Elephas maximus indicus: one gene and its partners. The protein of the gene in region 3 interacts with the protein of the main gene of each other region in a pairwise test. Links are inferred from orthologs where the notes say so. Each region holds a gene or a part of one and is shown on either strand. Other genes may lie near its edges.

Region 1 (10,000 bases), on a different chromosome or scaffold from region 3:
GGAAAAGAAATAACCGGCACCCAAATGGTAATGAAAAAATAAAACTGTCCCTATTTGCAGATGAAATGATACTATACATAGAAACCCCAAAGACTCCATAACAAACAGATTCAGCAGAGGAGCAGGATATAAGATAAAAGATAGGGGCATACGAAAATCAGCTGGATTCCTATACACCAATAAAGGGAACAATGAATATAAAAGGACTACTCGAAGGATGAACAAATCGGTCTTGGAAGAAGTACAGCCAGGATGCTCCTTAGGAGCAAGGATGGTATGACTTTGTCTCATGTATTTTAAACATGTTATCAGCAGGGACCAGAGGCTGGAGGAGGACATCATGCTTGGGAGAGTCAGCAAAAAAGAAGACCCTCAACAAGACGGACTGACACAGCAGCTGTAACAATGGCCTCAAACATTGCAGCGACTGAAAACGGTGCAGGACCTGGCAGTGTTTTGTTCTGTTGTACACAGGGCCACTGTGAATCGAAACCAACTTGAAAGCGCCTAACAACAACAGTGACAACGTCTGCTTCCCCTTTACTATGGCAGAGTAAGAGCAGTTGCCACAGAGACCTGCACGGCTTAAGATATTTACACTCTGGTCCTTTTCAGAAAAGCTTGCCTGCTCCTGGTCTAGACTAACATTCTGAAAGTAGTGCTTTGGGAGCAGATGGCACATGATGTCTTCAAGGGGAGACTGGGAGTCTCTTCCCAGACCACACTGGTGGGAAGCCTTGAGCGAGGCTTCACCCAGAGGCTCATCCTTCCGTGTCTGTACTCTCCGGCTGCTATTACCACATCTTCTCTTGGGTCATGTCACCCCCCCTCCGCTCATAAACCTAGAATTTACCCCAGGTCTCTCTCCTAAGCTCCAGAATCAAATACTCAACAGTCTGTTCTCAATTCCATTTGAATGTTCTGCTAGTACCCCAAACTCATTAGATCCAAAACCAACATCATCTAGTCCCTGAAAACAGATCTTCTTCCTAGAGTCCCTATTTCAGTAAAGGAGCCCATCGTATACCTGCTACTCCAAATCAGAAACCTGGGCGCCGTCCTTAGTTCTTCCCTCTCCCCACCCCACATCTTGTCACGAACACCCATCAGTTCTCCTTCCCACACATCCACGCACTTTGGCCCCTTCTCCAAATTTGCCTCCACAGATCATCTTCTGCATTTCTGCAGCAGTAGCAACCGTGCCCTAGGGCCTCCAGCCTTCCTTTCAATCTTCTTTCATGGTGATGCCACAGTTATCTTCAGAAGCCACAAATCTGATGCCACTCTTCCTGCTTAAAGTTTCCTATCTCCCTCAGGAAAAAAAAAAATCCTAGCTCTTTACCCTTGTCCTTCCCACTGTTCACCGGTCCAGTGTCATTCTTGCTGCTCCCCATACGCAACCTGCAGCCAGACTGAATTACTTGCATTTCAGTAGCTCTTGGTTTCTGAGCTTAACTTCACAGTAGTCTCTTTATACATCTTCCTGCCTCCAAGAAGCCATCTAACATGGAGTCAACTGCACAGAATTTGACACACGACTGATCTATCACTATCTTTCAAAATCCAGATCATGCCACTCCTTCTCTGTCACCTCCCCTGACACTCTCTTGCTCCTCCAAGCAGTCACGGTTAGAATGAACGTGAACTGAACATCTGGGCCATCCCTCTCATCAATGACAGCCCACTAGGATCACTGAGCCAAATTAGAATCATGATTAAAGTTCTCCACCAGTGGGGCCCAGACCTGGCTCTGCCATTCCCACTTGGGTAAGCTAGGGCAACTAACTTGTCTGTTCAGTCTTTAAAATGAGGGCATTGCTGCCCTGGTGGTGCAGTGGTTAAGAGCCCAGCTGCTAGTCAAAAGGTCATCTATTTGAATCCACCAGCCACTCCTTGGAAATCCTACAGGGCAGTTTTACTCTGTCCTATAGGGTCGCTATGAGTCGGAATCAACTCCACGACAACAGGTTTGGTTTTCTGGGTTTTGGACTAGATGACCCTAAAGACATACCCCAGTTCTAACATTCTATGACCCAAAGGCTCAATGTGACAAGTACTATGATATTTTGAACAGGATATCCCAAACACCAATCCAGCACTAAGACCCTAAGTTTCTCTCATTTGGACCATCTCGGTGGTCAGCAGTGGGTTAAAAGTGGCAATGGAGACAGAGGATCTGGGTTTGGAGCCCCACTCCCCTATTTACGAGTTCTGGGACCTTGGGCAGATAACCAAGTCTTTGTGCCTCACTGTCATCATTTACAAAATGTGCAAAGTGACACCCAACTCCAAACTTGAGGGTGGAGTGAGATAATGCATGAAAGCACCTAGCACAGGCTCGCAATGAGCTAACTCTGACTCTTTACCCACACCACTGTAATCCTCCAACACTGCACAACAATCCAACATGCAAATCCACTTGTGTCGCCCCTGCCCTTAACTTTCCAACATGTCATTTTTCAGCAGCTTTCAGGGGTCCTTCAGAACCTGTTCCCTACCGTACCTCATGCCACTGCCTCCACAAGGCAACTAACCACACAGGACTTTTCAGTTCCAGAAATACACCTCTATCTTTGTACCTTGGCTGTGGTGCCCTCTTCTCACCACCATCCCCTTTCAATGAGGTGAACCCCATTTCATCCTTTCTTCCTTCAACGTATTAGCCCAGTACAGGTAGTCCCCAATTTATGATGGGGTTCTGGTCCAATGGCTCTATCATAAGTCGGTTCTGACATAAATTGAATATTTTATTTTTAAAAAAATTATCATTGCCTTTTATCAGTATCTTTATAAATCCAATCTTTGTCTTTGGGGGTTGGCATGAAAATGACATCACCAAATTACATGCAGCAACACTGTATGTAGTACGTATTACTCATGACAAGATGCACGGTCCTAACTTGAGTACATCATAAGTCAGGGACTACCTGTATTTCCCAAAGGTAACTAATCTTAAACTCATGTGAACAAGGCAAATTCCCAGGCTCCATTCCAGACTGACTGGATCACCGTCTCTAAGTGAGGGGCCCAAGAAGCTTGACACATGGAACTCAGCTGAGTCTTACCATTAGAATAAGGCTGTATGCTTTCCAACCCCTATCTTCAGGGGATGGTGACCCTGGTGGCACAATGGTTAAGCATTTGGCTGCTAACCAAAAGGTTAGTGGTTCGAACCCACTCAGTGGCTCTGAGGAAGATAATACCTGGTGATCTGCTCCCGTAAAAATTATAGTCTAGAAAACCCCACGGCCTGGCTCTACTTTATCATCCGGGGCCACTATGAGTGTATGAGTGGAATCTACTGGAGGGCACCCAACAACATATTCAGGGAAGAGCAGACCGGTTGCTGCCCTGTTCTCACACCAAACCCTGGAAGGCCACTGCTGGAAGAGCCTTTCAAAGCCATTTAGCCCAAAGTATAAATTAAATCTGCCCCAAACCCTGAAAAGCTTATAGTTCACAAACAGTAACACACATGTAAAAGTACCCAAAGCCGTTGCCGTGGAGTCGATGCTCACTCATAGCAACCCTACAGGACAGAATAAAACTGCCCTAGAGGGTTTCCACGGAGCGGCTGGTGGATTCGAACTGCCAACCTTTTGGTATCCAGCCAAGCTTTTAACCACTGCACCACCAGGGCTCCAAGAGTGCCCAAAGCTCTACTTTTCCCACATGATGCTGACTTGGAGTTTTCTGAAAGAGTAAATTATTTTAAGAACCTCTGCGGTTCTGGAGACCCTGGTGGTACAGTGGTTAAGAGCGGCATGCTAGGCTGCGAACCCAAAGGTCAGCAGTTCAGATCCACCAGCCACACTTTGGAAACCCTATGGAGCACCTCCACTCCGTCCTTTAGGGTCGCTATGAGTCGGAATCCACTCGACGGCAACGGGTTTGGTTCCGTGCAGCTCCCAGCCTAACCGTCCGGAGTTTGTAGCCTAGCCGCCTTGGGGGCTAGAAGTGCGCGGGCCCCAGGTGAGTGGTCAATAGGTCAGGTCATGTCCCCATGAGTAACCAGCACCTCTCCAGTCAGAGACCCAGACCCTCACCGGGCGCGGGAAACTGAGGCACCAACGGTCAGGGACCTCCCGGGCCTCCTCGGCAAGCCAGGGTGGGTCCCATTTGGTCCCCCATCCCTATAGTAAAGTGAGGGAACGAAGGGCCCTTGGGCGGACAGCGGCGTGCGGGGGGCAGCCGGACCAATTCGGCCGGAGGGGGTGTGAGTAGGGGGTGTGGTCGGGGCCGCGGTCTCCCGGGCGGGGCAGGTTGTGCTTGAACCACTCGGTGAGCACGCGGGCCGACCCGCCGGCGACGGAGACCGGAAGTCCTCGTCGGGGGGTGCCCCCCCTCACCTGGCCGCCGTCCGCCTCGTCGCCCCACTCGGCCGCGTTTCCGAAGTAGTCCTCATCCATGATGGCTCCCGGCGCGGCCCCCGCCACCCTCTTCGCGAGCGAGCACGGCGCATGCGCGCGCGCGGGGCGGACGGACTGCGCAAGCGCGGCCTGCGTCCCCGCCCACCGCAGCCGCGCGCCAGGCTCTAGGCGGAGGGGGTGGGGTCAGTGAGCTTCCGTCCGGACCTAGGGCTACCGGTCACTTGTGGCTCCACGTGCTCAGGCTGGCTTGGGGCGGGGCACGGGATAAGGGGACGTCCGAATGGAACCTGACGGGGTTCCAGGAACTTTGGCTCCAGTAGAAGTTTAGAACTAAGCTCAGTCTGGCGTGGGTTCACTCCCAGCTCTGCCCCTTCTTCACTGCGCCTTTGGCCAGTCCTATGTGTCCTCGACAGCAACGGGTTTGGTTTTTTGGTTTTGACCCTTGCAACGGCAGTTTTGTCGTCTGACTACTAGGGACAGCAAGCGCAGGGCCATTATCCTTCCAGTATCAAAATCCATTGCAGGGGAGTCAATTCCGACTCATAGGGACCCTATAGGACAGAGTAGAACTGCCCCATACGGTTTCCTAGGCTGTAATCTAGGCAGATCGCTAGGTCTTTCTCCTGTGGAACCGTTGGTTGGTTCAAATTGCTGACTTTTCTGGGTAGGCAAGAGCTGCGAGGGCTCTTCCTGTCACGTGTAGAGCCCACGAAAATATTTTAATTTTTTATAAAATCGGAAGAAAAAACGAGTAATATAATAATCTACCATAGACTGTGTAAATATAATTGGTATGAGGATATCAACAAGTCATAAAATACAGTTTTTTTTATAATGGAAGAAAGGCCTACAAGGCAAAAGGGCCTAAAAAAAAAAAAAAAAACCAAGCCATTTGGCCCTGGAGTGGATCCCATGTGTCAGAAAGAGTAGAAAGCTCCATAAAGTTTTCTTGGCTGTAAGCTTTATAGGAGGGGCCTTGGTGACGCAGTGGCTAAGCCCTCTGCTGCTAACTGAAAGCTTGGCAGTTCAAACCCAGCCAGCTGCTCCAAGGGAAGAAGACCTGGTGATTTGCTCCCATAAAGCTTACAGCCTAGAAAACCCTATGGCGCAGTTCTACTCTGTGACTATATTTAGGGAAGCAGATCATGAGGCCTTCACTGAGTGGGTTCACACCACCAATCTATAGGTTAGTAGTGGAGCGCTTAACCGTCTGTGACACCCTGTTGTTGCTGTTAGGTGCCGTCAAGTCGGTTCCGACTCAGTGATCGTATGTACAACAGAACGAAACACTCCCCGGTCCTGTGCCATCCTTACAATCGTTTTGCTTGAGCCCATTGTTGCAGCCCCTGTGTCAATCCACCTCATTGAGGGTCTTCCTCTTTTCTGCTGACCCTGTACTTTACTAAGCATGATGTCCTTCTCCAGGGACTGATCCCTCCTGACAACATGTCCAAAGTATGTGTCTTAGTCTAGTGCTGCCATAACAGAAATACCATAAGTGGATGGCTTTAACAAAGAGAAATTTATTCTCTCACAGTGAAGTTGGTTAAAAGTCCAAATTCAAGGTGTCACCTCCTGGGGGAGGCTTTCTTTCTCTGTCGGCTCTGGAGGAACGTCCTTGTCCTCAATCTTCCCATGGTAGAGGAGATTTTCAGGCACAGGGACCCCAGGTCCAAAGGATATGCTCTGCTCCTGGTGCTGCTTTCTTGGTGGTATGAGGTCCCCAACTCACTGCTTGCTTCCCTTTCCTTTTATGTCCTGAAAGATAAAAGGTGGTGCAGGCCCCAGCCCGGGGAAACTCCCTTTACCTTGGATCAGGGAGGTGACCTGAGTAAGGGTGGTGTTACAATCCCACCTTAATCCTCTCAACATAAAATTACAATCACAAAATGGAGAACAACCACACATGACCTAACCAAGTTGATACACAGATTTGGGTGGGGGGAGGGGCACATAATCTATGACATTCCTCCTGGAGGTCCCCCAAAAATCACATTCTTGCAGCATGCAAAACATACTCATCTCATATCATAGCAAAAGTCTTAGTTCCAAGTCGAAAATCTGAAAATTCATCTTCATCTGTAAAATCTGGAATACAAATCATCTGCTTCCAAAATACAAGGAACAAGCTAGACATTTCTATTACAAATGGGAGAAACTGGAGGAAAGAAGGGATAACAAGCACCAAGCAAGTCAGCAGAACACATTACATTAGCCCTCAAAGCTTTGAAAGTAATCCTCCGTTCTCTGACACAATTTACACAATAACCCTGCCCTCCAGCCTCTAGGTATTGGCCACAGTCTCTGGATTCTGAGTGGAGGCCTCTTGGCCCTGTGCTTCAGCTCTGCCTTCCAGGCACACTGGGACAGCAACTCTGCTGCCCCGGCTTTAGGCACACCATTCTCCTAGTCCATCTGAGTGGCAACTCCACCCTTAGAAACACCGGAGGCCATGGCTCCACCCTTTGAAACCCCTGAGGTCATGGCCATACCTTTTGAGACTGAGACAGCTCAGCTTCTTGTGTTCCTTGTCTCTTGAGCTTCTGTTTCCTGGTTTCTTGGCTTCTCCGCTCTTTGGGCCTCACACCCACATCTGCTCTGCTGGGGCAAGTGTTCCAAAGCTTAGTAGCTCCACCAGTAAGTGCCCGGAGGCACCCCACTCTGCCGGAAAGCCTCCTGCGCACAGGCACTCAGCTCTCTCACTTCAGTTCCTGATCATATGCAACCTTTTGAAATGGTTGAACACCGACTAATTCTTTTTGGTATTGTGACTCTGTGTATTCCTTCCAACTTCTCTTGATACTTCTTGTGTCATTTAATATTTTCCCTGTAGAATCCTTCGCTATTGCAACTCAAGGCTTGAATTTTTTCTTCAGTTCTTTCAGCTTGAGAAACGCCGAACTTCTTCCCTTTTGGTTTTCTATCTCCAGCTCTTTGTGCGTGTCAGTATAATACTTACTTTGTCTTCTCGAGCCACCCTTTGAAATCTTCTGTTCAGTTCTTTTACTTCATCGTTTCTTCCTTTTGCTTTTTAGCTGCTGAACGTTCGTGAGCAAGTTTCAGAGTCTCCTCTGCCATCCATCTTGGTCTTTTCTTTCTTTCCTGTCTTTTCAGCAACCTCTTGCTTTCTTCATGTATGATGTGCTTGATGTCATTCCACAGCTCATCTGGTCTTCGGTCCCTAGTGTTCAACACGTCAAATCTGTTCTTCAGACGGTCTCTAAATTCAGGTGGGATATACTCAAGGTCATATTTTGGCTCTCGTGGACTTTCTCTGATTTTCTTCAGTTTCAGCTTGAACTTGCTTATGAGCAATTGATGGCCTGTTCCACAGTTGGCCCCTGGCCTTGTTCTGACTGATGATATCAAGCTTTTCCATCATCTGTTCCCACAGATGTAGTCGATTTGATTCCTATGTGTTCAATCTGGTGAGGTCCATGTGTATAGGCACCATTTATGTTAGTGAAAAAAGGTATTTGCAATGAAGAAGCCATTGGTCTTGCAAAATTCTATCATTCGATCACCAGCATTGTTTCTGTCACCAAGGCCATATTTTCCAACTACCCATCTTTCTTCTTTGTTTCCAACTTGCACATTCCAACCACCAGTAATTATCAATGCATCCTGATTGCATGTTCGATCAGTTTCATACTGCAGAAACTGATAAAAATCTTCAATGTCTTCATCTTTGGCCTTAGTGGTTGGTGTGTAAATTTGAATAATAGTCGTATTAATATTATCCTATCACTGACAGCTTTGTACTTCAGGATAGATCTTGAAATGTTCTTTTTGACGATGAATGCAACACCATCCTCTTCAAGTTGTTATTCCCGGCGTAGTAGACTATATGATTATCCAATTCAAGATGGCCAATGCCAGTCCATTTCAGCTCACTAATGCCTAGGATATCAATGTTTATGTGTTCCATATCATTTTTGATGATTTCCAATTTTCTTAGATTCATACTCCATACATTCCCCGTTCCAATTATTAATGGTTGTTTGCAGCTGTTTCTTCTTTTTTTGAGTCGTGCCACATCAGCAAATGAAGGTCTCAAAAGCTTTACTCCATCCATGTCATTAAGGTCAACTCTACTTTGAGGCAGTGGCTCTTCCCCAGTCATCTTTTGAGTGCCTTCCAACTTGGGGAGCTCATCTTCCAGCACTATATCAGACAATGCTCCACTGCTATCCATAGGGTTTTCACTGGCTAATTCTTTTCAGAAGTAGGCTGCTGGGTACTTCTTCCTAGTCTGTCTTAGTCTGGAAGCTCAGCTGAAACTTGTCCTTCATGGGTGACCCTGCTGGTATCTGAATACCGGTGGCATAGCTTCCAGCATCACAGCAACATGCAAGCCCCCACAGTACGACGAACTAACAGACAGGTGGGGGTGCCACCCTAGGTCCCACAAAAGTCATAACACAGTCCTGGAAGAGAGGACCTGCTTCTTCGTAGGAGGTCTGTGAAAAGACAAAAGAGATGATGCTTTTAAAGCCCTCAGCACAGTTCCTACACGTAGTAAACCCAAAACCAAACCCATTGCCATGGAGTCAATTCCAACTCATAGTGACCCTATAGGACAGAGTAAAACTGCCCCATAGGGTTTCCAAGGAGTGGCTGGTTAATTTGAACTGCTGACCTTTTGGTTAGCAGCCAAGCTCTTAACCACTCTGCCACCAGGGTTCCAAGTAGTAGGGGGGTCAAAAACTCATAGCCGCCAGGATGCTCAGGGAGAGTTTTTGAGCAGGGAGGCCAACAGCATCAGATGTGCATGCTTTGACAGGTGAAGCCACGGCAGCAAGGAATGGGCTTCAGAGAGGAGCCCTAAAACATTGATCATAGCAACCATTTGTGAGGGCTTCTCTGTGCTTTCCTGCATTCCTCCCCTTGTTCCTTCATCAAGTGTTTATTGAGAGTCCCCTAGGTGCTGGCACTGTTCTGCCCACTGGAACTCAGTGGTGAGAAAACTGGACACGGTCCTTGCCCTGGTGGAACCGACAATCTACCGATGGAGATGAATGGGAAACAAACCGACAAAATAATGACAGATGGTGACCAGTGCTAGTATTCTGGGCTAGCAGGAGAGAAATGGTCAATGTGCTCAGCTGTTAACCGAGATATTGGCAGTTTGAGTCCACCCAAAGGTGCCTCAGAAGAAATTCCTGATGATCCACTTCTGAAAACTTGGCCCTTGAAAACCCTATGAAGCAGAGTTCTACTGTGACATGTGGGGTCTCCATGAGTCAGAACTGACTCAACGGCAACCAGTAGTTGGTTGGCTACTTGGGGCAGTCAGAGAAGGCCTCTCTGGGAACTACATTTGATCTGAGGTCTACACAGTGAAAGAGACTCAAGCAAGCTAGGGCCAAGGAGAGAGTATTTTTAGGAGGGGAGCTGCCAGGGAAAAGGCTTGGTGTATGTCCTTGGAACAGAAAGGCACTGGCACCTGCTGGGGCAGCAAGAAGCTTGGTTGAGCTGGGAGAGGCAGGCGGGGCCAGATGGTGGGGAGGAAGGATTTAGCACAATAACTGTGTAAAGCACCAAGCATTCATGTAGTGAAAAAACCAAACTGAGCCCATTGCTGTTGAGTAGATTCCGATTCATAGTGACCCTATAGGGCAGGCTAGAAC
Region 2 (9,793 bases), on a different chromosome or scaffold from region 3:
AACAGAAACGAGAATGTTCATGTGTTGTGAAGAATGTAAGCCATGTCACTGAACAATTTGTGTAGAAATTGTTGAATGGGGACCTAAATCTAAATGGTTATGTAAACCTTCACTGAAAGCACAATTAAATATTATTAAAAAAAAAAAAAAAAGACCCAGGCACAGCTTGGAGTCCTCATGGGAATTCAAATGCACTCACATTCAATGTCCAGAGGGGCCCTTGGCCTGGAACTGGAGTTGGAAGGATTCTGGGCCTCTGGATCCCAAGGTCCCTGCACTGGGTAACTCCCTGGGATTCTGGGGCTGGGAGAACTTCCTCCCACCCCCGCTCAGAGAACTGCTTCTTTGGGGCCACTTCAGGTTCCCAGGGGGCACCGACCTGTCACTCAAGGGAGAAGATGGGCATAGGCCTCCCTCTCTGGGCCCACAGGCTCAGTCACAGAGAAGCCAAGCTCAGGGTTCCCACCTTTGGGAAAACCCAACACTTCCAGGCGCTCAGCTCCAGACACAAGAGCCTGTGCTGCACATGGCTTGACGACACCGGCTTCAGGGCTGGCAGAGCCAGGTTCAAATCCCTGCTTCACCACATGTGTAACCGAGAATGGCCTCAAAAGAAGAGAAATTGCGTAATGAGGACTGTCAGAGTTGTGTCACGGGAAGTGGCCACGAGTGGTCGGCTCCTCTCAACATTTCCATGGGCGCACCCCCAGAAGCAGCAGTTGCGGTCACTCTGCTGGCTTCAGGAGCAATGAACTCTCAATGTTTGTCAAGTCACAAGGGCAAGGTGTACCCTCAGCCTGGGTGCTGCATTCCAGGAGGGGCAGCCAGGCCTGGGGCCAGCAGGCCACGGTCCCATTCAGATGCTCTGCTTAGCTGGGCTGTGAGACCATCTGGGGGTCCGCCACCTTGCATCAGCCCTACCATGTCCTCTGGGACTGCAGATCTTGGGTGTGGGGGAACTGGACAACTCAGGCAAACGATTCCATGCCCACAAGCACCCCAGAACTGGACCTGAGGATAATGCCTGTGTGAAGCAGGTACAAGAAGCAGTTGTCTGAGGTGAAGTTGGTAAGGGCGAGACTCTGGGTGCACGAAGAGGGGGAGGAGGGTGTGAGTGGCCCAAGCACGGTGCAGGGCTCTAAGCTTCCCTCCTCAAGGTGGCAAGACACAAGCAGAAGCTCAGTTGACCGGGAGAGACCAGGAGTGCAAAAACTCTAGAAAATGGTACTTGGGAGGAAGACTGAGGGGATGGGACAGGTGTAGCCTGGGGAACCCAAGCCTAGGGAACAATGGGGTGACCGTTCAAATGCCTAAAAGGCTACTATCACAGGAAAAGGGAAGAGCCTTGCTTGGTGAGGGACCCACGGGGAGAAGCCTAAGGGAAGTGGACTTCCGTTCAACATAGGGATGGCGTTTCTAGCCATTAGAGCTGACACCAGGTGCTACTTTGTGAGGGAGGAGTGCCTTGTCCCTAAAGATGTCCAGCAAGAGTTGGTTGACTGCTTCCCAAGCCGGTGGGCTCTGTAACCAGAAGGCCTTGGTTGTGGAACGCCTGCCATGTCCCTCCATGTCCCTACCCTCTTCCTGCCAACAAAGTCTGGCTTTTCAGATCTCCCCTACCGTCGGCTTGCTCGCGGTCCGAGCCACTCACCAGGGGCAGCTCTCTACCTGGTCGGCACATCTGATAAGTCGAACCGTAGGGCAGAGGGACTAGGTTGTGGCTGGCAAGAAACTGGACTCCATTCCCGAGGCATCTCTGATTGGGGAGAAAAGAGAAAGATCCATTAAAACAAGAAGGTAACCGGAAGGTAAGTGTGCCATATAAAAAAAGCCAAGGGTTGCCTGAGGCCTATTCCCCGATTTCTACCACATGCCTGCCCCACGCTGAATACCCTTCAGTCTTCCTACTGTCTGCGAAGCCCGTGGAATCTGCCAGAAAGAGAAAATACTGCATCCTCGGCTCCTGGGGTTATATCTACCCTCTTGCCTCTGATCCTGGGGGAAAATGGATAGGTCCCAGGAAATGCCAACCTATGGGGGAAGACGGCTATATGTTGTTTGCTGTCATTACGTGGCGTAGTGGTTAAGAGCTCAGCTGTTAATCAAAAGGCCAGCAGTTTGAATCCACCAACTGCTCCTTGGAAACCTCATGGGGCAGTTCTTCTGTCCTATAGGGTCGCTACAAAAATTTGGTTTTTTCAGTTGTTGGTTGCCATCAAGTTGGCTTCGACTCATGGCAACCCTATGTACAACAGAACAAAATGTTGCCTGGTCCTGTGCCATCTTCATAATCTTTGACATGCTTCAGCCCATTATTGCAGCCACTGTGCATTTCGAGTGCCATCCAATCTAGGGGGCTTGTTGTCTAGTGCTATATTAGATGATGTTAGGTTGTGACCCATAGGGTTTTCATTGGCTGGTTTTTGGAAGCAGAATGCCAGGCCTTTCTTCCTAGTCTGTCTTAGTCTGGAAGATCTGCTAAAACCAGTTCACCATGGATGACCCTGCTGCTATCTGAAATACGGGCAGCATAGCTTCCAGCACCCTAGCAACACACAGGCCACTACAATAGGACAAGCTGACAGATGGGTGGTGGAGGCTAAACATGCCAGCCCTGGCAGTGCAATGGTTAAGTGCTCAGCTGCTAATCTACAGGTTGGCGGTTTGAACCCACCAGCAGCTCCATGGGAGAAAAGATGTGGCAGTCTGCTTCTGTAAACGTTACAGCTTTAGAAACCCTATGGGGTAGTTCTACTCTGTCCTGTAAGATGGCTATGAGTCGGAATCAACTCAACCACAATGGGTTTGGGTTTCGTTTTAATCCCGCAGTCTGAAAAAGGGCACACTGAGCCTTGATGCTGGCGGCTGGCAGTGTTCTCTCACAGAAGTCGTGGGCTTTCAGAGGCAAACACTGATAAAGCAGCATCCCAGGCACAGTGCTGGAAGAAACCCACAATGCCCTGGTCAAGGGTTGAGCCACAAGCAAGGTATCACAGGGGAGTCACGCTAGGCAAAGACCCAGCAACCTCATGTGAAAGGCATTTTTTTGTAGGACCTGGGGGTCCTGCTCAATGCTGCACCCTATCACCCAGCATGGTGCCTAGTACACTGGCGTCAAACGACCTGACAGAACCACTCTTCCATTTGCACAGTGGGTGGCGCAACGGTTAAGCACTCAGCTGCTATCTGAAAGGTTGATGGTTTGAACCCACCCAGCAGCTCCACAGGAGAAAGACCTCGTGATTTGCTCTGGTAAAAATGACAGCCCAGAAAAACCCTATGGGTAGTTCTACTCTGTCGCATGGGGTTACAATGAGTCAAAACAGACTCGACAGCACCTAACTACAAGAGGACCCTTCCTCTCCATATTTCCTGCCTCCTAGCTCTGGGAACCCCCAGGAACGTGCCAAACCACTATCTCCTATAGTTACTCGAGAGAGTCACTCTTGGGAGTTTAAATACAGTGAAATCTGTGACAGCCGAAATCTGTTTGGACTGCTTGGTTTTTTCCGGGTCTTGCAAGTTTTCTGCCTTTGACAGAGTGCAGCTCTACCACTTTGCTATAGCTCGTTTTAGTGGAAAATACTTGAATTTTCCTTCTCTGGCAGGTTTCCACCTTACACAGGTTCTGGCTTTTGCAGGTTTTACTGTAACTTGCTGTATTTCTCAATATCTCTACACCCACAGACCCCAGAGCCACTGTCTTTGGCCACCGTCCAAAACATACGTGGATGGCTGTCTAATATGGGAGATAAGTCTGAGGCTGGTCCCCCCTAGGTCTTGTGACCAAATCCAAACACATGTAAATTTAACCTCTAAACCTTGACTCAAAAGACAAATGGCCAAGAAAAAAAAAAAAATCAGTTCTGAGTCAAAGAAACCTTGTTTTTCCCCACACTTGGAAGCCTACAAGTTTTAACAGTTTGGCTCTGGAGTCAGACTGACTTGGGCTTTGGACCAGGTCAGCCATCCGCTAGCTGTGGGCCTGTGAACAGGTTGCTTAACCTGTCTGGGTTTCCAGTTTCCTGCAGCATTAACATGAAGTGCTATTTTCTAACTGAGCTCTCCACACCCTGAGTCCCACCGCCCTAGGAACTCAAGAGCCCAAGCTCTGGGCCAAGGCGAGAACCGCCTTCCACACTTCCACTTGAGGATTACGAGAGGCTCGGCAGGAAATGCTCTTGGTAGCGGATCTGGCATATATACGCAAGACATGATTGTCACTTTGGCTTCCCCTCGCTACTTCTTCTCAACAGGCAGCAGCCACCCCGAGCACGTGGGGGTATGTGCAGGAGGTGAGGGGCGATTCGCTCGGTCCTCGCGCTCAGGCCTAGCTCCGGGCTCCCTAACCCGGCCTCGGCTGACCCAACCGCAAGCCTCTCGCTCGAACCAAGGGAAGGGCCGCGGAGGCCAAGGACAAGAGGAGAAGGAGCCCTTGGAGGCCGCGGACCCTGAGCCCCTAGGCACCCGCCCCGCCTGCCCGCACGTCCGCTCACCCGCGGGCAGCGGCACCAGCCTCGCCGCAGCGCCGCCGCCGCCATGTTGGAAGAGCCCGTGTGACCTTCTCGCGGCGAGGCCTTATGGCGTCATCCATGGCGCCCGCCGGGGGGGGGGTCTCAGACAGGGAGAGGACTCTGATTGGACGTGACTCCACAGAGGGGCAGGGCCTTGAGGAGGGGGGTCTGTGATAGGACAGGGCTGCGGGGGCGTACCCAGCGGGACTGCTAGGGGGCGGGGTACGGTGGAGGGCAGGGTTTCGGAAGAACAGGGCCTGTGACTGGATGTGGCCCCAGAGGGCGGGCACTCCTAATGAGGCTGAGACCTGTGATTGGGCGAGAGTAAGAGGAGGGGTGGCCTGGGACGTGGAATCAGTCGGGAGCGGTGAATCTTTTGCAGATTGCGCAGGGTTCTGGCAGTCAGAGGGACAGGGAGACGGACTGACCGACAACCAGGACGGACACAGCTGGATTCTGACTGACAGACCGGCGGACCAGCCCGACAGAGACTGACTCTGGCTCTCACTGACAGTGACAGTGACTCCCAGAGAGTGACCGACAGACCGATAACGCTGACTGCCTCACTGACGGTGACCGACAATGACTGACGGATGGCTGACTACTGACTGAATGACTGCCTGCCAGCGACTGACTCAACGACTGGCTAGCTCGACTGACGATGACTGAGAGGCTCTGACTGAATGACTGACAGAGGACTGGTCCCGACTGACCGCCTGCCTGCCTATGACTGCCTGACTTATGGCTACCTAGGGTAATGATGACTGACAGGCTGACTGGTTGACTCTGACCTTGTCTTCCAGTGACTGACTGACTGAAGGACTGATGCAGACAGACTGCCTGCCTGTGACTGACTCAGTGACCACTGACTAGTCTGGCACACAGCCACCACCCATCTGCCTGTGAAGGCTTGTGTGTTACTATGGTCCTGAACAGGTTTCAGTGGAGCTTCCAGATTAAGGTGGACTAGGAAGAAAGGCCTGGCAATTGATTTCCAAAAATCAGCCCCTGAAAACCCTATGGGTCACAACGGTCCAATCCGGTTTTGCATGGGGTCACCATGAGTCAGGGGCTGACTTGATGGTAGCTAACAACAACGGAAACCCTGGTGGCATAGTGGTTAAGTGCTATGGCTGCTAACCAAAGGGTCAGCAGTTTGAATCCAGCAGCCACTCCTTGGAAACTCTATGGGGCAGTTCTACTCTGTCCTATAGGTCGCTATGGGTCGGAATCGACTCAACAGCGCTGGGTTTTGTTTTGTTTTGTTTTTAACAACAATAACAACAGACTGATAATGACTGACATGCCAACTGACTGATTCTGACTCTCCCTTCCCCGTTACTGTCTGACTGACTGAAGGACTGACCCTGACATCAACTAAGGCTTCTGGCTGACTCTTGACTGAAGTGATGGAATCTGACTGACTGTCCAACTGACCGGCTCTGACCCTATTTGTCTGACTGACTGAAAGACTGGTCTCAACCGACTCCTACTGACTCTGGCTCTCATTGGCCCCTGCCTGACTCTGCCTGAAGGGCTGACTGGTTGACTAGACTGACTGACACTGATGATGGATTCCGACTGATGGACATGATAATAACTGACAGAAGTGGCCTAATCTAGAGCATCAAGCTCTTCCGGAAGGTGCCCTGGCGGATGAGTGAGCACAAGCCACAGGAAGTATCTTGCACAGCACTTTGGGAAGAATCTTGGTTGAAGCCCGAAACTGGAGGTGGAAGCTGAGACTAGGCTGGGAGTGGACCACTCCTCCATCAATTCTGTGTGAATTGATACAACCTGCCTTGACGCAGCTCAGGTCTTTGTTATTTCCGCACTTGGGACACTTTTCCATTTGGAGAATGTGGCCACCAAGTGGCAGTACTTTGACATGGCTGGGCAATCTGAGTTTCACAAGGTTCATGCAAGGGGCCTGGCCCCGTGGGGGAGTTAATGTATGTTGCATTTGCCATATTGTTGAAGGCTTTTGCATTATAAAATTGTAATGTGGGCTTATGGGACTGTTCATTGAAGAAAGGCATCTTGGCACCGGGGAACTTACACTTTGTGGTTTCATAGTCACACCTGCATTCTCTGGACCTCAGGATCTCCTCCTTGAGATGGGAGTAGGGAGTGATGGCTTCCACTCTGGCTTTGTTTGAGGTGTCTGTGGAACCTCCAAGAAGAGAAAATTGGTTAAGCCATTGGGATGCACAGGTTTGCAGCTGAGACGTGGGCTAGGCATCAGACTTCTTGGTTGTAGTTGAAACCATAGTGTTAGACGAGGGCACCTTAGGGAGAGTGTGTTGAAGGAGTATACCAAAAACCCAAAGATGAGGTAGAGGAAGAAGGGCCCTTAAAGGAGATTGGGTAGGACAGGCCAAGAGGTAGGAAGAGGGCCTGGAGGTACTCTGAGAAGGTGGGAGGATTAAGCAATGCTGAATGCTACAAAAAGGTCAGCCTAGGCAAGGACAGAGCTGTATCCATTGTCCCTTGCGTTTTGTAACATGGAGGTCCCTAGTAAAAGGAGTGATGCCCTGGTGGTGCAGTGGTTAAGAGCTCACCTGCTAACCAAAAGGTTGGCAGTTCGAATCCACCAGCTGCTCCTTGGAGACCCTATGAGGCAGTTCTACTCTGTCCTATAGGGTTGTTACGAGTTGGAATTGACTTGATGGAAAAAAAAATTTTTTTTCAGTAACACGAGCAAAAAGGGTTTTGGCTGAATGGTGGAGGTGAAAGCCAGATTTCGGTGGGTTGAGATTTTTACAGAGGTGTGTTGGAGCCAGCTTCTACCAGTTTACAAGAGCCAGTTGTCAAATCTTCAAGAATTTTGTGAGCCAGCTGCTAAACACAGCCATTACAAAACCAAAGCTAATTACATAAACATGATCAAATCTATCACCGTCTGTCAGTTTGTCACGCTGTGGTGACTTGGGTGTTGCTATGATGCTAGAAGCTATGCCACCAGTATTTCAAATACCAGCAGGGTCACCAATGGTGGACAAGTTTCAGCGGAGTTTCCAGACTGAAATAGAGGCTGGTGATCTACTTCCGAAAATCAGCCAATGAAAACCCTATGGATCACAACAGAGCATTATCCGATAGAGTGCTAGATGATGAGCCCCCTACGTTGGAAGGCGCTCAAAATACACAGTGGTTATAACGAACTCGAGCATACCAACGATCCTAAAGGTGGTGCAGGACCAGGCAACATCTTATCATTATACACAAGGTTGCTATGAGTCAGAGCCAACTTGATGGCAACTAAAAACAACAATGATCAAATGTTGTTGTTAGGAGCTGTCAAGTCAGTTCCAACTCATAGTGACCCTATGTACCACAGAACAAAACACTGTCTGGTCCTGCGCAATCATTGTTATGCTTGAGCCCATTATCGCAGCCACTGTGTCAATCCATCTTGTTGAGGGTCTTCCTCTTTTTTGATGACCCTGTACTTTACCGAGGATGATGTCCTTCTCCAGGGACTGATCCCTCCTGACACCCTGTCCAACGTATGTTAGATGTAGTCTTGCCATCCTTGCATCTAAGGAGCATTCTGGTTGTACTTCTTCCAGGACAGACTTGTTCGTTCTTCTGGCAGTCCATGGTGTACTCAATATTCTTCACCAACACCACGATTCAAAGGCGTCAGCTCTTCTTTGGTCTTTCTTATTCATTGTCCAGCTTTTACACGCATATAATGAGGTTGAAAATACCATGGCTTGGGTCAGGCGCACCTTAGTCTTCAAGGTGACATCTTTGCTCTTCAACACTTTGAAGAGGTCCTTTGCAGCAGATTTACCCAATGCAACGCGTCTTTTGATTTCATGACTGCTGCTCCCATGGCTGTTGATTGTGGATCCAAGTAAAATGAAATCCTTGACAACTTCAGTCTTTTCTCCGTTTATCATGATGTTGCTCATTGGTCCTTTTGCGAGGACTTTTGTTTTCTTTATGTTGAGGTGTAATCCATACTGAAGGTTGTGGTCTTTGATCTTCATCAGTAAGTGCTTGAAGTCCTCTTCACTTTCAGCAAGCAAGGTTGTGTCCTCTGCATGATGCAGGTTGTTAATCCTGATGCCCCTTTATTCTTCATATAGTCCAGCTTCAAATAGGTTATATTAAAAACAAAGGCAAATACCCGGAAATCATCACTTCCTAATGATTTTGTGCTCTTGAGGTTATTCACATCTGTCACATCTGTATGGTGAGAATACTGAATCAGGATGAGCTATGACACGTTTCTTCCCAATCCCACCTTCAGTGATGTCATGTTGGTAGCTTGCAATTGGGCACGGTGGGAGTGTTTACACCATGGGAATCGGCAGATATTACAAATCAGGGCCTTCTGGCTTGGTTAGTCGGTTGGTTTAGAGAGCCAATTTTTCAACACTTAACCAGCACAGCACTGGTTGAGAACATAGGCATAGTAAGTGTAGATGCCTATGAGGAAACTTGGCGGGCATGGAGGGTGAGATGATGACAACTGGAGGAACATCTGGGAGGGGGTGAGGGTGCTTTCGTTTTCCCAGCTTTTTAATTTTGAAACATGTCAAAGCTACAAAAAAGTCGCAAGAATAATAAAGTGAACACCCGTATACCCTTCGCCTAGATTGATTTTGCCACACGTGCTTTACCTCTCTTCCTGTGTATATGTATTGTGTGTATATATATAAAAAAAAACCAAAAACCAAACCCAGTGCCGTCGAGTTGATTCCGACTCACAGCGACCCTATAGGACAGAGTAGAATTGCCCCATAGAGTTTCAAAGGAGCGTCTGGCAGATTCGAACTGCCATTCCTTTGGTTAGCACCAGTAGCACTTAACCACTATGCCACCAGGGTTTCCTGTATATATATATATATATTTTGCTAAACCATTTGTTATGTGGACGTCATTACATGTCACCCTTGAATACTTAAGCACGTATCTCCTAAGGCCTTCACCACAACGCCGTTAGTGCACCAAGACTTTCATTAACAAGAATTGAATAAAATTCAATAAAATAAGACTCTATTATTAGACTCTCCTCAATTTCCTCATCGTAGCTTAAAAAAAAAAAAAATCTAGGATCCAATCAAGTTTCACTCGTTACATATGATTGTAACGTCTCCTTTAATCTAGAAAAGTCCCCTGACTTTTTTTTTCTTTCATGACTTTGACAGTTTCGAAGGCCTGTTGTCTTATAAAAATGTCCCACTAATATGATGAATGTAATCACTGCCACTGAGTTAATAGTACACATAAAAAATGTTGAAATGGTAAATGTTTTGTTAGATATA
Region 3 (9,756 bases):
TCCTGAGGGTCTCTTGAAACTGGGTGTAGGAGATGATTTAGCATTTGTGGGAGCCCCTCTTCTGTCCATACCCAAGAGGGGATAATCTTATTACTCTTTGGGCCCCTCCCTTCTTTTTCTCTGCAGAACCAACAAATCTGTTCCTCATGTCTGCCCCTCTCTGTATACTTTACGAATTGTTCCTGCACGCTGAAAGAGGGAATCAGGGCATGGAGGGCTGTCATAAAGTAGACTCCTGCAGCCCACTTCTTTGTATACTCTCGGACATTCAGGTTCTTTGTAAGGGGGGTAATAGATACAACTTTAGTTAGTCTAATGAATAACCTTAAGATTCTTGATTCAATGAGGCAGCCCAGTGTGTCCCTATTCATTCTTTTATAATATAAAAGCAGAAGGAGCTGATCAAGGAAAGGCCGCCTGTGTTTAGCTTCACAATGGCGGTATAAACAGGAAAGGGAGAAAGGGCTTTCGCCGGAACAATTATCCCTTAGCCTATTACCAATACAGCACTGATCCCTTTTGCAAAGCACACATGGAGGATATAGATGCAAGTATCTTTAGAAGTTGGATGGGGCTGAGAGGTGCAAAAGGCAGATGGGTGACTGGTTTCTTAAAGAGACTCACCGACTTGACATGACTATTGTTGGAGGTCAAATGTTCTGGGCCGAAAATGTGCTCCTTTGTGAGCAGGACTCCTAGAGGGTGTGACCCCTCTAGTCGGCCGACACTTCTCTTACGTGTCTCGGTTTCTCTCCCGGTTGTCTAAGACAATCCGGGGGGCTCAGAGTGCTGGGTGGCCAACCCTTATGTGTGCATCCCCGGAGGAGCCTGGTTGTTAATTAAGTGAAGTCGGAAGTTCCTGTGAGGCCGCTGCACATTTTGGGTTTGACTCAGACACCTCCACAAACTGGAGGAAGCGCCTCTTTTCTTCGGAGTCGGAAAGAGTCAGACACTCGTTATTACCATCTTCTTGTTAATAGTCAGACCATCTTCTTGTTAATAGTCAGACTAAGAAGAAACAAAACACACACACAGGTAGGGGTAGGGGTACGTCAGCGCAGGGCTGGAAAGGAAAAAAAGAGAGCCCGAGCTTTTAGGTGGACTCACCACTTTCTGGACAAAGGAGGAGGAAGTTTTCAGTCCAAGTCATGGCACCAGAAGATGTTACCGGAGAATAGCCTTGGTTCTTGTCTTCAGTGTAGGAAAGAATTCAAACACTGAGACAAATAGTGCCAAGCGAGCAGAGGTTTATTAGCTAGCAGGGGGTTAGTAGCGAAAGTACACTTGGCTAGGGAGCGTCAAGCGGGCTACTCAGATAGAGGAAGTGTCCGAGTGACCTGACAGTCGTTTTCTTAGGGTTTTATACCCTTTTTCTCCTATCTCCCCCGTTAATGTTTAACTGCCAAGTCAGGGACCCCTGTAGAGACCATTTCCTTGGCTTATCATTTAATTACCAAGTTAGGGACCATCTTATTGAGGACTGTCACCACCTCCTGTCTCTTCCTCCTCCCGAGTGCAAGCTCTCCCCCTCCACCTTACAGTAATATAGATACAGTAATTCTAAAGAAAATTTTGGCAAATCAAATTTTACAATATATTAAAAGGTATTACATAATGAGAAAGTGGGGTTCATACCAGGAATGCATGATTAACATTTGAAAATTAATCAGTGTAGTCCACGATAACTCAAGAAGAAAAACCATGCGATCATTCCAATAGATGCAGAAAACCATTTCACAAAATCTAACACCCATTTTTGATGAAAAGTCTTAGCAAACCAGGAATAGAAGGGAATTTAATCAACCTGCTAAAGGGCATCTTTGATTCTTTTACAAGAAAGGAAAAGGGAAGTAGCAGAGCTTTTCAAAGCCATAGCACTGGCTGAGCTAGGTACCTGTAGGCCACCGGAACTGCTAAAACATGTCAATGCTGGGACTGAGCCTTCTGGCCTGAATAATTCAATCTCATGTAATCCTGTAAATGTCCTTTAACTTGAATTATGCAATAAGCTCTGCCAAACAACATAGATCTTTGCCCTGATACTTAAATAATATGAATGGTGCTGGTAGTGATAACAGGAATCGCTAACAACTACTGCACAATCACTATGCTTCAGGCACTGTGTCATGTTTGATATGGAATAGCTCACAGAATCTTACAACAACTCTGTATACAACATACAATAACAAGATTACTCAAGGAATGTTATTTGGTTTAATTGTTTTTCACCCACTCGTAAAAATATACAAACCTGCAAAAGAGCAGGTTTAATTTTATGAAAAAATGGAAGTGTTCAAATTACTGCCCTATGAATTTTGTTAGGAAAGGATTTTTAATAAGGAAAAGTAAAGAAACATAATCTTTAAGCACACTTACTTGTACCTTTCCCATACTTCTGACCCCAGGGTTGTATGTTAAAATTCTCTTCAGGGAATAAATAACCGGAAGTGGGAACTTCCATACTCTGCCTTTATTAAAGCTTTAATTACAATTACAGTTGCATTCCCACCAATTTAAAGACATTAACCTGCTTGTTTGTAGCAGTTCTCAGGGCTGCATCACCTCTCACTGTCTGAGGTCGCCCAAAGCCCACCTGTGCATACTGTAGGTCTGTCATGACGCTTTTCTCAGCTGAGGCAGGTCCTATCAATGCCCGCGGCTTCCCAAAGCCCGCCTTCCACTGCACTGCCATTGGGTGATATCACTGCCTGTCGGGGGCCTGAGAGGAGTGTGCATCCTCGCAGGCCGCTGCGTCAGCCCGGGGGAGCTGGTTGTTGAGGAAGCTGTGCAGGCCTGTGGGGCAGTCATCTAAGTCACTGTTTCTGCCTCAGAGAAATGGTTTTGCGAGGTGGTTGTTCTTAGGTGCCGTCGAGTAGCGACCCTATGTACAACGGAACGAAAAACCGCCCGCTCTGGCGCCATCTGCAAGGTTATCTCCCCCGAAATGGGTGGTTGAGAGTGAGGCGGTGCGCTGGGGTTTCAGAGATGGCATTCTCCAAGCAGCAGCAGGGGTTGGCATTGGAAAAAGTGTGGCATTTTTTAGGGGAGATACTCAGGACTCTTGGAGTGGCTGTAAGATGCCTTAAGGAGGTCTCCCGGCCCTGCCTGCACCCTGTTAAGCACTTTTTCTCAAGCTTAAATTCCTAGAGCTTTCTCCCCTCTGTCCCTCCCGTAAGGGCAGCCTGAACCTCAGTTTTCTCAACTGTAAAATGGGTAGCATTACAACAGCAATCGGTGAACACTTAAGATTTTTTAGTCTTTTCAAAGACATGTTACTGAGAATTTAAAATTAATGACAATAATAAAAACCCTCAAGTTGAAAAGCCTTTAAATTTTCTAGGTGGATAATTCAAAGGGGGATGTCAGAAAACCATAATCAGCTAGTTCAGGCTTTAATTTTTGTTTTAATACATGGTGCTTCTGATAGTTTTAATGTGGTGCTGATGATGATGCGAAAAACCCAAATCACTTAAAAATCCTTCGTCTTGGCCGAAGTCAGGGCAGGTGGAATGAGTTCAAAGGCATCTATGAGTCCCTGGGAGAAAAAACAGTGGTGGCCTTGCACTGCTTGCCCAGGAGTGGGCTGCACCCGCCCCTTGCTTCCCCACCGCCAGCTCCTGTGCAGTAAACTTGCACCAAGGGGTTTTGCGCTTCCTTTTGTAAACGTTAGGCAATGGAGCCAGAAGTCTGTTTTCAAACACTGCCTATAAATTAGAGTTTTAAAACAAATTAAATACTTAAATGAATTGAAATTTAAAACTCACTCCTGAAATTATTCTTCCTCCCGGCGAGCACTTTGGAGCCCCTCAGTGAGGTCCAACAAGATGAGTTCCTGACCCCGCGTGGGTATCATATCTCAATAAAAATGCATGGAAAAATGGTTTCAAACAACCAATTTTTAACATTTTGATTTCTTACAAATTCTTATTGGCTAGAGAATAAAAACAATTCTCCTCTTTTCTGAAGTTGAATCCCCGGACCCCACATCATCTGCACCTCCCAACGCAGGAGCTCCAGTGGGCACCTTAGTAACACTCCTGAGCAAGCAGTGCAAGACCAGTACTCTTTTCTCTCCCAGGGACTTAAGAGATGCTTGCTGTCGGGCGACAGCCCCAGCAAGGAAAGACCCTCACTGTGCGACCTGGCAGATAATCTGAGGAACTGACACATAGCCACCCCCACCCCCCCACCCCAGATTCATGCATTCAAGGAAACTTACTGACATGGGCAAGCAGCTGCTCTCCAGTAGTGGCCGGCTGGAGTATTTTCCGCAACCACCTAGCAAGGGACCCAAGCTTATATACCATTTCAGCTGGGACCAAGGCTCATCGTTTTCTCCCATGTCCTTGGGCAGTCAGTGTTCCCAGGGACTTCACGTCCAGGCCCAGATGTTTTCCTTCCTGTTGCTAAGGCATTCCTCAGCCTTGGCTGCTGGCCCAGTCATGCCACTCCCGGCCTTGTACCTTAGCCGAAATCCATACCGAATTCATCCCCAGCATGCTTCGGGGAAGAGCAAAGCTGATTCCATTAGGGAGAGGATGCATACAGCTGAATAGCATTACCCTACACCTCCGAAGTCATTCCACTTGCCAGGGATACTGACAGAAAGGTCGGAGGTTCAAACCCACCAGCATCTCTGCTGGAGAGAAAGATGTGGCAGGCTGCCTCGGTAAAGATTACAGTCTCGAAAACCCTGTGGAGCCATTCTGTTCTGTCCTATAGGGTCACTATGGAGGCGGAATGGACTCAATGGCAATGGATTTTGAGTTATACTTTGCATACAATAAAATGCACCCATTTTTAATGTAGCGTTCAAAGAGTTCTGACAAACTCATTGACAGAACATTCCATTCACTTCCAAAACTTCCCTTCTGCCCTTCCCAGTCAATCCCGCTCCCCACAAGACAACCACTAATTGGCTTTCCTTCACTATAGATTAGTTTTACCTGGTTTATAATTTCATACAAATGGTATAATACAGCATTTCTCCTTTGAGTCTGGCTTCTTTTATTCAACCTTATGAGATTTCATCTATGCTGTTCCATATATTATTATCTTCCATTGCTGAGTAGTATCCCATTGCTGTGTTTCTTCTTCAATTCTTAAATTGTTGGACACCTGGACTGTTTCCAGTTTTTTGCTATTATGAATAAAGCTAATTAGAACATTTGAGTACAAGTCTTTGTATAAACATTGCAGTAGTTCATAAAGGACGCCTTCCAAAACAGCTCACCGCCCCTCTTAAATCCAATGCCCCAGCTTCCGCCACACCTGAGACTTGCTGTTATCCAAGGCTATGACTACAGGCTCCAAGAGCTGGAAAACACTGAGGATGCTTTGGTCAGATTTAATCCATTTCAAAGCCGGAAAACTGAGACACAGGTGTTAAAAATAATTAAAAACTTAACATTTATTCTGAGCAGTTATTCTATAAGGAGCCCTGGTAGTGTAGCGGTTAAAACGGTAGACTGCTAACCAAAAGGCCGGCAGTTCAAAACCACTAGTGGCTCCGCTGGAGAAAGATGTGGCAGTCGACTTTCCTAGAGGATTACAAGCCTTGGAAACCCTGTGGGGTCGCAATGAATCGGAATGAACTTCATGGCACTGGTTAGCTATTCTATATGCTTAGGGCTCTTGGTCACTGACCGACGAGGGCGCTTAAGGATTCCCCGCCCAGATTCCGAAACTGCTAAGGTCACCCTTGAAAGCGACCCAAAAAAAAAAAAAAAAAGCCCTGCTTTATTCCGTCACGGCACAATTGGGGTTAAAGCTCATGGAGCGCAAGCCTCGCCCCGACTGCGCCTGCGCGAATGAGACCGTACGAATTTGCCCCAGACCCTGACGTCTCAGACAGCCTCATTCGGCCCGTCCTACCTTAATGGGCGTGCCTGCAATCCAATAAGAATGGAGGGCTGAGTCCCGTGAAGCCAATGGTGAAGGCCCAAGGGGGGGGGCGCGGAGGCGGACCCTGTAAGGAGGAGAGAAGACAGGCCCAAGATGGAGGCGGTGGAGGCCGTAGCGGCGTGACAGGTGAGGGTGGACCCCGCAAGGCTACATTTCTGGAGCGGCTCTCAGGCACAGGCAGGGAGTCTGGACCGAAAGCTCAGTTCCAGGATGGCTGCGCCTGGGCCCCAGCGCCCCCCGTCCGGAACCGGAGGAGTGGTTCGCCCCGGGGCGAAACCATCGTCGTCAGCGGGGTGAGGGGTGGGTAGACAGAATAGGCGGACTAGAAGGCTGGTGATGGTTTCGCCCGCCGCGAGTGGCAGGGTGTCTGCGCAGAACCGGGAAGCTTCCGGTAGGCGGGGCCCGGCCGATTCGGGCCTGGGCTGTGGTTTAGGGAGCTCGTGATTCTTTCTTAACCCAACTGAGGTGTCTGATAACCCGTCCTTACGTTCTCCACAGAGTGCGTGGAGATACGGCACATTACTCCCTTTCCATATTCTGGATCAATACCTGACCCATTAAGAGAATGGGAATTTCTCCATTACCCCTTCTTAGCCCTCCCCAGCTTCCTTCCATTATCCCTTTTCACTTCACTAATACGTCTGGGACCCCTCATTAGTTGTCAGGGGGACTGTTGGAGTCCCCCCTCCACCTTACTCCCTGTTTATCTCACCACGACAATGTCTGTTGATGCATGATTACCCTCTTTTGCCTTTTCCTCATGACAATGTCTGGTGATCCACCATTACCCCATACCCATTTGGCCCAATGTCAGGTGACTTCCATTTTCCACCCTTCTGCCCATGACAGTCCCTAGTGACCCCTATTATATCTCCAGCATAGTGTCTGGTGACTCCCCATCGCATAGCCTAGTGACTCCCATTATCCCCCTAACATTGTGTCTGTGATCCTACCATCAACATTACACTCCAGGCCCTTTAAGAACACTGTTTGGTGCAGCCCCCATTTCCCCCAACTAAGAGCAATATCTCACGATCCTCCATCCCCCATCACAGTGTTCGTGACTCTTCCCGCACCACAATATCTGGTAATTCCCTCTCATTAAAAGCTAGAACAGAGTCTGTTTGTGTCCATTATGTACCTAAAATCCCTAGTGCAGTGCATACTGACATTAGGCCCCAGCAGAGAGTCACAGAGTATTGTGTGCACTCCTGTACCCTCCGGGACAGTGTGTGCTGCCTTCCCACCCCCACCTCCACTCCTGCAGTGAATCTGAGACCTCGGTGCTCTGGAGGGAGACAAGTGATAGGAGGGTCTGAGCAGAGGAGCGACTGGATCCTGGCTCAGCTTCAGGTGATAACAGGATCTCATGGGCTGCTGTGTGGAAATTAGGCTACAAGGGGCAACATGGAGCCTGGAGACTGGATTTTATTTCGTACCCTGCCACTTTGCTTCCAGAGTACTACTATTGGATTTCTAAATTCCTCCTCTCTCTTCTCCTAGGAGCCCCATGGAACCTGCCCAGCCCCACCTCAGCCCTTCTTGACAAAGTCCTAGGCTCCATGGAGCTGCCACGGGCCCCCCCTGCCAACGGGGCTGAGCCATCCCGGGCAGTGGGTACCGTCAAAGTCTACCTGCCCAACAAGCAGCGCACGGTGGTGAGTCCCTGAGGGGCAAAACTGACAGGGATTAGGGATGGACCCAGTTGTAAGTCTGGGACGGGAGGGTGATAAAGGTGGGAGGAGGCCTTTGTGGAGAGGTGGGGGAGCCTACTGGGGCCCCTGTTGGGCACTGAGGGCCCCACATATGCACACACAGGTGACCGTCCGGGATGGTATGAGTGTCTACGACTCTCTAGACAAGGCCCTTAAGGTGCGGGGTCTCAATCAAGACTGCTGCGTGGTCTACCGACTCATCAAGGGGTAGGTGTGGCCCCCACCCACTGGGTGCCCAGCCTCCATGCCCTCCTCAGAGTCATCTGACTCCTTTTCTCTGCCATTGAGTCTTCCATATTCTTTCTTTCGTCTTCCATTGTTGTTGTTAGTTACCATCAAGTAGAGTCCTCATAGCAACCCCATGTCACAGAGTAGAACTGCCCCCTAGGGTTTTCTTGGCTCTCACCTTTACAAAAGCAAATCACCAGGTCTTTCTCCCTCGGAGCTACTGGGTGGGTTCAAACTGCCAACCTTTCAGTTAGCAGCCGAGTGCTTAACTGTTTGCACCACCAGGGATCCTGAGTCTTCCGTTAGTTCAGTTAATTCGTGAGTTCATCCGTCTTTTGTTACTTCATTAGCTTGCTGCCTTGTAAGGTCTGCAACTCATTCACTCCTTGACCCAAGTCCTCACCATGCCCCATCGCCTCCTCCCAGAGGAGTTCATCTGTTTTGTCCTTTCACTATTTGAGTAATTTTTTAGCTCTCTTTCTACAGTTTCCCCACTCTCTGCCTGTTGAATTGAGCCTTGGACCATTAAGTCCTTTGTTCTGGGGCTCCCTAATTTCTTTCATCTACACATTGTTTTTTGTTGGTTCATGTCTCATTAGCCACTTTTCAGGGCTTGCTCAATACTTCTAATATTGAGTTATTTATTCACCACTTCACTACCCTTGTGACCTTGGGCAAGTTACTTTACCCCTCTGGGCCTCGGTTTCTCCATTTCTAAAATGGGGGCAAGAATAGTAACTGGTTCCTAGGGTTGCTGTGTTGAGAATTAAACTTGGCAGATATTACTCTGTGGATAGCAGGCTTGGAAGGACTTTTAGGGGGTTCCATGATTCTTGTCTACCCTCCCACTCATTTCCTTCTGTGCCCTTTGCAGGCGAAAGACGGTCACTGCCTGGGACACTGCCATTGCCCCCCTGGATGGCGAGGAGCTCATTGTCGAAGTCCTTGAAGATGTCCCACTGACCATGCACAATTTTGTGAGTGCAGGGCGGATAGTAGAAACAGGCCATGGGAGGGGGGAGGGTCCTTCACCAGGACTCAACTTCTCCTGCTCTGTGGCAGCAGGTGCGGAAGACGTTCTTCAGCCTGGTATTCTGTGACTTCTGTCTTAAGTTTCTGTTCCATGGCTTCCGCTGCCAAACCTGCGGCTACAAATTCCATCAGCATTGTTCCTCCAAGGTCCCCACAGTCTGTGTCGACATGAGCACCAACCGCCGACAGTGAGCCTGGCCTGGGGTGGGTGGGGGGATGGGGAGAACAGAAGCCCAGCGACAAGGCCCTTGTAGACAGCTGACCTGTGTCCCCTCTCTCTATACCCCTTTCACCCTCAAGTTTCTACCACAGTGTCCAGGATTTGTCAGCAGTCTCCAGACAGCACGAGGCTCCCTCTAACCATCCCCTGAATGAGCTGCTAACCCCCCTGGGTCCCAGGTAGGGAACCTTAAGTGAAGGGCTGCTGTTGGGAGAAAAAGATCTGGGGGCCCCAATAGACCACAAGCCATACTTTATTCATTTCTTTATTTGATATTTTTTGAGCACCTACAAATGGAAGCAGAGTGATTAAGGGGCCTTGGGTAAGTCACCTTATCTCTCTGGGCCTCAGTTTTCTCATCTGTAAAGAGGAGATAATGATAACTTTCTACCACATAGGGTCATGATGAGGATTAGATAAGTTAAGACGTGTCCAGTGCTTAGAACAGGATCTGGCACCAAGTAAATAATCACTGTTTCTTATTGATTATAAATATATTTAATAATCTAACTGCTTTGTTAATTCTTCCAGTGTAACCGTGCTCAAGCCTTTCTATTTTGAGATACGTGCTATTTTATCATAAATTATTTTCATTTTACTTCTTTATATTAAGTATTATAGTACTGTAATATTTATTAAAATGTTATTTCTCTAATA

What was found.
Region 1: the proteins of ARAF (region 3) and NELFCD interact in binary tests that used the Homo sapiens proteins (3 or more experiments, as listed by UniProt). The link is inferred for Elephas maximus indicus from reciprocal best matches to the Homo sapiens genes ARAF and NELFCD.
Region 2: the proteins of ARAF (region 3) and TIMM44 interact in binary tests that used the Homo sapiens proteins (3 or more experiments, as listed by UniProt). The link is inferred for Elephas maximus indicus from reciprocal best matches to the Homo sapiens genes ARAF and TIMM44.

Annotation. Positions count from the first base shown.
Region 1 is NC_064843.1:10,146,535-10,156,534, forward strand, and holds the start of NELFCD (negative elongation factor C/D), read right to left. Parts: upstream 4,451-10,000; 5' UTR 4,410-4,450; coding exon 4,350-4,409; intron 1-4,349. UniProt on the Homo sapiens protein: Essential component of the NELF complex, a complex that negatively regulates the elongation of transcription by RNA polymerase II.
Region 2 is NC_064821.1:12,675,309-12,685,101, forward strand, and holds the start of TIMM44 (mitochondrial import inner membrane translocase subunit TIM44), read right to left. Parts: upstream 4,577-9,793; 5' UTR 4,542-4,576; coding exon 4,497-4,541; intron 1,757-4,496; coding exon 1,652-1,756; intron 1-1,651. UniProt on the Homo sapiens protein: Essential component of the PAM complex, a complex required for the translocation of transit peptide-containing proteins from the inner membrane into the mitochondrial matrix in an ATP-dependent manner.
Region 3 is NC_064846.1:124,079,451-124,089,206, reverse strand, and holds the start of ARAF (serine/threonine-protein kinase A-Raf), read left to right. Parts: upstream 1-5,968; 5' UTR 5,969-6,030; exon of another isoform or gene 6,031-6,215; intron 6,216-7,407; 5' UTR 7,408-7,466; coding exon 7,467-7,562; intron 7,563-7,722; coding exon 7,723-7,826; intron 7,827-8,721; coding exon 8,722-8,824; intron 8,825-8,909; coding exon 8,910-9,067; intron 9,068-9,179; coding exon 9,180-9,278; intron 9,279-9,756. UniProt on the Homo sapiens protein: Involved in the transduction of mitogenic signals from the cell membrane to the nucleus. May also regulate the TOR signaling cascade. Phosphorylates PFKFB2.